Mus musculus: one gene and its partner. The protein of the gene in region 2 purifies or fractionates together with the protein of the main gene of each other region. This does not show direct contact. Links are inferred from orthologs where the notes say so. Each region holds a gene or a part of one and is shown on either strand. Other genes may lie near its edges.

Region 1 (4,326 bases), on a different chromosome or scaffold from region 2:
GGTCAGATTACTTGTGGTTATGCCTCTTTAAGATGCAGAGGGACAGCTGGGGGGTGGGGGTGGGGTGACGGTGGTATCGGTACACATCTTTAATCCCAGCACTCAGGGGACAGAGGCAGACAGATCTCTGTGAGTCTGAGGCCAGCCTGGTCTACAGAGTGAGTTCCAGGACAGCCAGAGTTACACAGAGAAACCCTGTCTTGAAAACAAAACAAAACAAAACAAAACCAAAAAAATGCAGAGGGACAATGTCGCCTCTGGCTGCCCATGTATAGAAACACGAGGAGCCTGACGGTTGGAAGCGGGAACTAAAGGCTTCTGAGAACCACTTAGCAGAGCCACAGAGACCTAAGGGCTACCTTTCACCTTGGGACCCGAGAAGCTTGCTCTCCTCTGGTAATCAGCAGCAGGAGGGCTCACACACACAGTGTATCTGCAGGCTTCTGCGAGGGCCTGACTGAGCGGCCACCGTCTAGCTGCACCACAGAGCAGTCAGAGCAACTGTCCACGATATATCGTCAAGCTGAGTTCTACTCGCCAGTACCAATGGTTCAGAAACAGCAGTCACAACAGGTGCCCGAGCCCCTGGGTGTCCACGTAGCAGGCCCCCAGTCCTACCTGGTGCAGACGTTTCTCTAGGAAGGCGAGGAGGGCACTGATCACATCCATGTTAACTCCCATGAACTCTAAGGATCCTTCGTGGAGCTCCAGGGCCAGAAGCACATCCAAACACTTGAGGGGCAAGTTCCCCAGGAGATTCACCGTGTGGCTGGGGACAGACACACAGAGGCCTCGACACAGTAATTATATTTAGCACAGATACACTCCCTGGCCCTTCTCCTGGGGTACACATGGATGGGCTCGAAGGGTTGCACTGAAAGCAATAGACTATAGGCAAGGGCAGGTGGTACCCCAACTCAAATTTGGTGGGGAGATTCTGCAGACGCTATCTGGGCCATTATGTCTGAGCTGAGATGCCAAACAATCTCTCGAACCTGAGATGAGCAGAGGCACCAGCAAGAGACCATACTGCCTCCGCCTAAGGCCCTGTCTCTAAGTTCATAGCTCTTCTCTTAGCCATACCTGAGTTACCTAGGCTCTCTGGAAACAACACTGGTGCCCCATTCCCCTGATGAAGTCAAAGGTGGGGCCTGGGCCCCCAAGTGCTTCTGATTCACAACTAGGGTTAAGGACTTCTGTACCCATACCTAGGAACTCTTGCCGTCCCCAACATTGTGAGCCCTACCCCTCACCCGTGGAACTCCTCTGTGCGGTCCCCAGCAGCTTCAACCATCACGCAGTGCCGCAGAAGAGTCCCCAGGTACCGGTAAAGGGCAGCATCTTCCTAACCAAAGACAGAAAGGGGCTCCTGTGAGATCGAACCCCTGTTCTTGTGGCCACATGGAGTTGATCCCTAGACGCTGTGCACAGCACATGTGGTGCTTTTGGCCACCTGAAGCACTGTGGAGAATACCCACCTGCAACCCCATGCACAGTGCGGCTCAGGCACCTTCCCTGAGTTCCCGCCTACACCATCCTCTAGTCCTCGCCATATCTGATACCCTGCAAGCTGAGGTACAAAGGGAAGCAAACTGTCCCACCCGAACTGAGTCTCAGCCAAGACTTCCAACCTACCTCATCAACTTCCCTCTTGACAGAGTCAAAGGTGATATTAAAGAGCACTTTGAGGATCTCCATGGCCCTCTCCGTCTCTTGGGCTGGAAGCATCACCGGAGGGTTTTCTTTGGGGGCCACGCCCAGTGTTAGTTCCAGCGCATCAGTCAGCAGGCGTACACCGTGCAGCTCCTGAAACAGTTGCTGGCGCACATCCGTGCGAAGGGCTGTTAGCAGGAAAAGGAGCCTCAAGTCAAAGAACTGGACTTCGTGGGGATAGCTCCTCTTGCGGTACAGTCCCACACGCTCCGCTAGCCTCACCACCAGGCGAGCCTCTGCTGCTAGCATCTGTGCTGTTGGACTGCTGAGCACAAGATTACACAGGCATTTGAGAGACTCGAGGAGGACATCCATGTCTGGGGACTGTGGGATGGGTTCCTCTGAGACGGTAATGTCAGCATAGCAGGCTAGTGCATGTAAGCTCTGGCGGCTGGCAAATGAGTCCAGGCAGCTGCGGTCTCGGGATAGGATTCGGATAGTCTGCAGCCAGGTGACACGGTGCTTTGGTGACAAGCCCTGCTCCAGGACGGAGACCAGTAGCTTTGCGAGTCTCTGTGGGGTCGAACAAAAGTGGTTCCACTAGGCCCTCTTCTTGGGGTCAGCCCGTGCCTGCCCTAGGAGCCCTTGGGGCTGACACCTACCTTCCTGTCCTCCTGCTGGGCATCATCGAAGGTGAAGCTCTGAGAATGCTGCAGGGAGACCCAGGAGGCTCAGATCCACATGCAGGTAGGACCCGTGCTCCTCGAGTCAGAGCAGACCTCTGAAGCAGCATCCATCGCTCTGAACCTTAAGGCAAGGCCCACCCTAGCCTCCCATACACCTGCCCCACCACACGCCACCACAGAGCCACCCGAGGGACCAGCCCACCACCCACCGCCGTGCTCCCTGCCACCACTCGCACGCACACCCCAGCCGAGTTGCGCGCACACCCCTGCTTCCTCTCTTCCTGAAATTTCCTCGGCAGCCGGATGCCTCTCACCTCCCGGTTGAACGACCGCAGAGCTTCTGTCACCGCATCTTCCTCTCCGGTCTCCAAGGCATCCGCAACTGCCCGGGGCTCCATGGCCCCTGGCACCGGGTGCTGGAAGGCTTGGGCTGGGAAGACGCAATCGGCCAAACCCCGGGGCTCCGCCCAGGTCCGGAAGCCCGGCGTCCACGCGTGAGGGATGCTGGGAGAGCAGCCGAACCCAAGGGTGTGTACAGGCGCCTCCGACTTAAGGTGGAGCAACCCGGCTGTGGTCGCTGAGCGGCTAGTCTTGGAGCGGCGATGCTAGCTAACCAGCCAGGCAGTGTCCTCCTTTTGAGCCCTCCTCTCTAGCCCGAGTTCCTGGCAGGCGGGGGGTGGGGTGGGATGGGAGGGTGGGGAGTGGGGTGTGGCTTGGCCCGCGCGTGGACCGTCCTCTTTACGCTCTTGTCCCCGTACTGTGATAAAAAAGGGAGCGCCGGCTCCTGGCCGCTTAATCAGTTGGGGAAGACGATTCTCGCGATCCAGGCCTTGGAGCTCATCTTCCATAGGGAATAGGGAAAGAGAAGTACAACGACTTGGATGGTCAAAATAATGCACGTGGTTAGCCGGGCATAGTGACGCACGCCTTCTTAAATCCCAGCACTCGAGAGGCAGAAACTAGCAGACCTATCTAAAAAGAATAGCCACCAAAGTAATACGGTTATTCTCAAGAAAATTGCAGAGAAGGAAGTGAAGAACACCCGTGGAAAAGCCACTCCCGCGAGAGGAGCAACGGAGGGGCGGCCAGCCGAGGCGTGTCTGAGGTTAGAAGCGTAGGAGCGCTGTGTAGCGGGGAGCCAGGTCCGCACGCCACTTAGCTGAGTCGGTGCCCCACAGTGACACATACAAACAGTGCTCCAGTGGATGATGTCACCCGCCGTGCTAACCGGCTCTGCCCCTACTCAGTGGCAGGCCCCGGCCGTCTCCTTCACCAGTCTCTTTCGGGTCTGCCTGTCCTCCCCATCCAGTTGGATTTAGCAGCGCCAGAGGCATCCGACTGATTTACTGAGCTGGTTCCTAGCCTCTGCTCCAAATTTGGGTCTGAACACCTGCTCCGAGTAACACCCACAGCGCAGGACTAATATTGCTGACCAATCCGTGGGTCCGAATGCTGGTGGCCCGCCCTTCCCTTATTTACATTCCCGAGAAGCACTCCAGGTCTGTTTCTTCCGCTTCAGAACCTTCTCCCGGAAGTTATTAGCCCGGAGGCGGAACCGGAAGACCCGGGTACTGGTGCCACGTCCGTTGCTGTGCTGCGAATTCCCTGAGTGGGACCCTGGAGGGCGCGATGGCAGATTGGACTCGAGGTGAGAGCACTTGAAAGGCAGTAGAGGTAGGAGGGGAAGTCTAAGTCTGGAGCTGGAGACATCGCTCGTTTCTCGGTGGAAGGACCTGCGTGGGGTGGCGCTTACGTATCCCTGGAAAAACAGGGCCGGATTTCGCCTGGCGCTGCCTTGGAACCCAAGCCGGCATGCCATCAGTTTTGTGTGTGGTTGATGCCAAGAGCTGGAAGCAGAGGGTCCAAGCAGGGTTTTACTAATGAGGGGCCTGAGTGCCTCGGTTCACACACATTCCCCGCCCCCGTGCCTGTGTTCAGTGTGACAGTTGTGATACTGATGCTTCGCCCACAACGATGACTATGCAGT
Region 2 (3,645 bases):
GACATGGAGAATTAAGAGGAAGGCAGATCATTATTCAGCTATTTGTATTTAGAATTGTAGTGGGAGGGTGGGCTGGGGATTTAGTTGCTAGTTTTCTCATGCTACCTTGTCAGGAAAGGTTTCTATAGCACTTCTTCTAAACTATGATTCTGCGCGTGCACATAACTGTGTGAAAAATGAAACTCATTTAGTAAAGAAGTGGGAATTCATCTGCCCCTGTCTTAACTGTTTTTCTCAGGATGATGCCCGACAGTTATTTGTTTTAGCTGGGAGTGCTGAAGAAGGAGTCATGACTTCAGAACTAGCAGGCGTGATTAAACGTTTATGGCGAGATGGCGGGGTACAGGCATGCTTTAGCAGGTCCAGGGAATATCAGCTCAATGATTCTGCTTCATAGTAAGTGATTTTTTTTTTCCTTTGAAACTGTGATAGACAATAAGTTGGTAACTGAGCAGTGGTGGTACACACCTTTAACCCCAGAACTTGGGAGGCAGAGGTGGCCGGATTTCTGAGTTTGAGGCCAGCCTGATCAACAGAGTGAGTTCCAGGACAGCCAGGACTATACAGAGAAACCCTGCCCCCGAACAAACAAACAAATAAATAAATAATAATTTGGTGACTCTAGAGAATGTTCATTGCCTATCCTTAAGGAAATGTTTAAGTACTAATGTCCAAAAGTTTGTAGGATCCTGTATTACAGTTGTCTCACTTTAAGGTTATCTCAGAGATCTATTTATAATAAGCAAGTAAAGTTGAGACATCTAGATGCCCTCCGTATAGGACAAAGCACTGATAGCCAGCTAGAGGGGTAACACCCCATTACACACACTCACTCTCACTCACACACACACACACACACACACACACACACACACACACATACAGAGAGCTGCCCCACCCCTTGGTTATTATTGTACTTGAGACTGGATCTCACTGTGTAACTCTGGCTGGCCTAGAACACACAGAGATCCCCCTGCGCTGCCTTACATGCTAGGATGAGATGTGCAGCACCACCACGGGTGTGCCAGTCCTTTTATACTCGATGTACTGTGAGGTTTTCTGGTAGTAGTCATTACACTTAACCTTTTGTGAATGTGTGTTGTACTAGGGATTAAACCAAAGCCTCGTGCATGTGGGGCAAAGGCTCTACCACTGAGTTTCCTCCTCAGCCCTCTTGATTGTTTGAGACACAATCTCGCTCATGCTGACATTGAACTCATTCCGTAGCCCTGGCAGGCTTGAGTTTCTGACCACTCTGCTTCAGCTTTCCGAACAGCTGAGATGACAAGCCTGTACCACAAAACCCAGCACCGTGCACCTCTCCTGCCAGACTGCGGTGGTGGCTTCTGTGGGATGAGGACATTATCATACAATAGAATGAAGCCTTTCTTTATCAAGGAAGCTCACTTGAGTGTTAGTTTTAGAGAATTGGTAACTAGTACTTTTATTCACTGCTACATTTGATCCCATTTTGACCCCCCGACACATTTATATATTCATGCTGTAGTTTTAAAGTTTACTTTTGGGGGACCTGGTGAGTACTTGACATCTGTACCTCCTGCCCCCCACACCCCGCCCCCCGCCCCCCGCCCCAATCAAGATAAAGGACTTTTGGTTGTTAAGGTATTTTCTCTAGCCTTATATTTTCCCATTCTCATTCTGTCACAATTGTTACAAGAAATGGTATATATAAATGCTATTTATAAAGCTTACTTATAATTTGACAAACAATAAAAGGATTCTTGCTGTCTTTTTAAAACTAAGATTATCTTTATGTGCGTATACTGGTAGTTTAAGCAATTCAGTGGCTATCAGAGGTAAATTTTTAATCGTTTCTTCTGTCATCCATTGAGTAAGCTCTGACTCGCCAAACTACATGTTATTTATAAAGTTGGGTCCCTCTGTCACTGTTCATCCAAGCTCAACTCTGTTAATGGTGGTATTTGGTTTGTAGATGATCTGAATGGCACACTTAAAGTAGTGCATCTGCTCTTTTTTTTTTTTTTTTTGGTCTGGAATCAGTGAAGATTTAGCCTTTGTCTTTCCCCTACTCTCTTCCCCCTTTTTTTGAAATGGGGTCTTGTTACATAGCCCAGGCTGGCCTGAAACTTTGTATCTTCCTGATTTGTCTCAAACATGTGGCCTCTTGCCTCTGCATCCTCGGGTGCTGGGTTTATAAGCCTATACTCACATATCCACCTATATTCTCACTGAATGTAGTTCTTCTCATTTTCATATCAAGTATCATTCTTTAAGAAGCTGTCAAATAGTTATGTATGCAGCTGACATAAATTTAAGTATCCAAGAACTTTTAACTTTTTGTTATTTTATTTTCATATGGGTCTTGCTCTGTAGCCCAGACTTACCTGGAATTCATGGGGTCCAGGGTTACAGGTCTTTGTCACAATCCCAGTTTGATTTTGTTTTTTCTGCTCTATAGTGCATAGCTCACTTCATATTAGATTTAGCAATAATACAATTGCCATGTTTTTAAAATTTGCTTTTACGGTATATTTAAAACCATTCTTGTTACTGTGTGTAGAACCTATTAATTTCCCCTATACTTGATTCACTTTTTTCACTCATTCTATGATACTGAAGATTTAATATTTTTCTGCCCTTCAGTGAGTTTCAGGGTACCTTTGTTTGTTGTTTGTTGGCACTTGGGATTGAACCTAGGCCTCACATGTGCCAGTACTTAGCCAGTCACAGAATTGACTTTTGCCAAGCTGCTAGTTTGGTCTGTTGATTTGTCATGTCCATGGTTGACTTTACCAAGTAAAAACCAATATGCATTTTATTTAGCTACCTAAATGATTTGGATAGAATATCCCAGACCAACTACATTCCAACTCAGCAAGATGTTCTTCGGACAAGAGTGAAGACTACAGGCATTGTGGAGACCCACTTCACCTTCAAGGAACTCTACTTCAAGTACGTCATAGCCTGTTCTTGCCTGGGTCTGGCACAAAGAACCAAAAGTTTTTTTGCTTTTGTTTTTGAGTCAAGATCTCATGATGTAAACCTGGATGACCTAGTTCTTGCTGTGTAGACCAGGGTGGCCTCAAGTTTGCATCTTCCACCTCTGCCTGCTGAGTGCTAGGGTTGCAGGTGTATACCACATGCCTGGCTTACTGACTCCCCTTAGTTAGCCTCTCTGTCTGGGGGTAAGATCTTTGTAAGCAGTGTTCCTTGGTTTAGAAACTTAATATTTAAGAGCCATTAGCTCAATGTTTTATCTGATTACACCCCACACATTTATTTATTTTTCTCCTCCAGATAGCATCAGTATTTAGAGAAAATTAAATGTAAAATTAAATAATAGTTTACCTACCATTAGAATTCATTATACAATTATCATTTTGTGTTTGTTTACATTTTCAGCACGCTTTTGTTAGTTGCCAAATAGGTATTGACTATTGCTAGAAGGATCAGAGCGTACTAAATAGGTAGAAAATAACGTATAGATGGCTTCATCCTGACGTGCTGACGTGCTGACAGTAAAACAGGACTATTTCTTAGCAGCACCACTCCTCTCAGACGGCTCCCCTTCCCGTTAAGGTTAATGGGCCAGAGCTAAGCTTGGGGGCCTTGGGTTTGTACATGCACAGCATCATGCTCAATTAAGTTTGTAGTGCAGGGCAA

What was found. The genes of interacting proteins can lie anywhere in the genome.
Region 1: the proteins of Gnai3 (region 2) and Ric8a purify together in Homo sapiens (affinity purification with mass spectrometry; 3 studies listed by BioGRID and IntAct, counting the BioPlex papers as one, with this or other methods). This does not show direct contact. The link is inferred for Mus musculus from reciprocal best matches to the Homo sapiens genes GNAI3 and RIC8A.

The regions. Positions count from the first base shown.
Region 1 is NC_000073.6:140,855,882-140,860,207, reverse strand, and holds the start of Ric8a (synembryn-A), read right to left. Parts: upstream 2,812-4,326; 5' UTR 2,738-2,811; coding exon 2,654-2,737; intron 2,364-2,653; coding exon 2,316-2,363; intron 2,227-2,315; coding exon 1,636-2,226; intron 1,346-1,635; coding exon 1,254-1,345; intron 770-1,253; coding exon 619-769; intron 1-618. Other genes in the region: Bet1l (BET1-like protein), read left to right, coding at 3,969-3,987.
Region 2 is NC_000069.6:108,115,052-108,118,696, reverse strand, and holds part of Gnai3 (guanine nucleotide-binding protein G(i) subunit alpha), read left to right. Parts: intron 1-238; coding exon 239-396; intron 397-2,805; coding exon 2,806-2,934; intron 2,935-3,645. UniProt on the Homo sapiens protein: Heterotrimeric guanine nucleotide-binding proteins (G proteins) function as transducers downstream of G protein-coupled receptors (GPCRs) in numerous signaling cascades.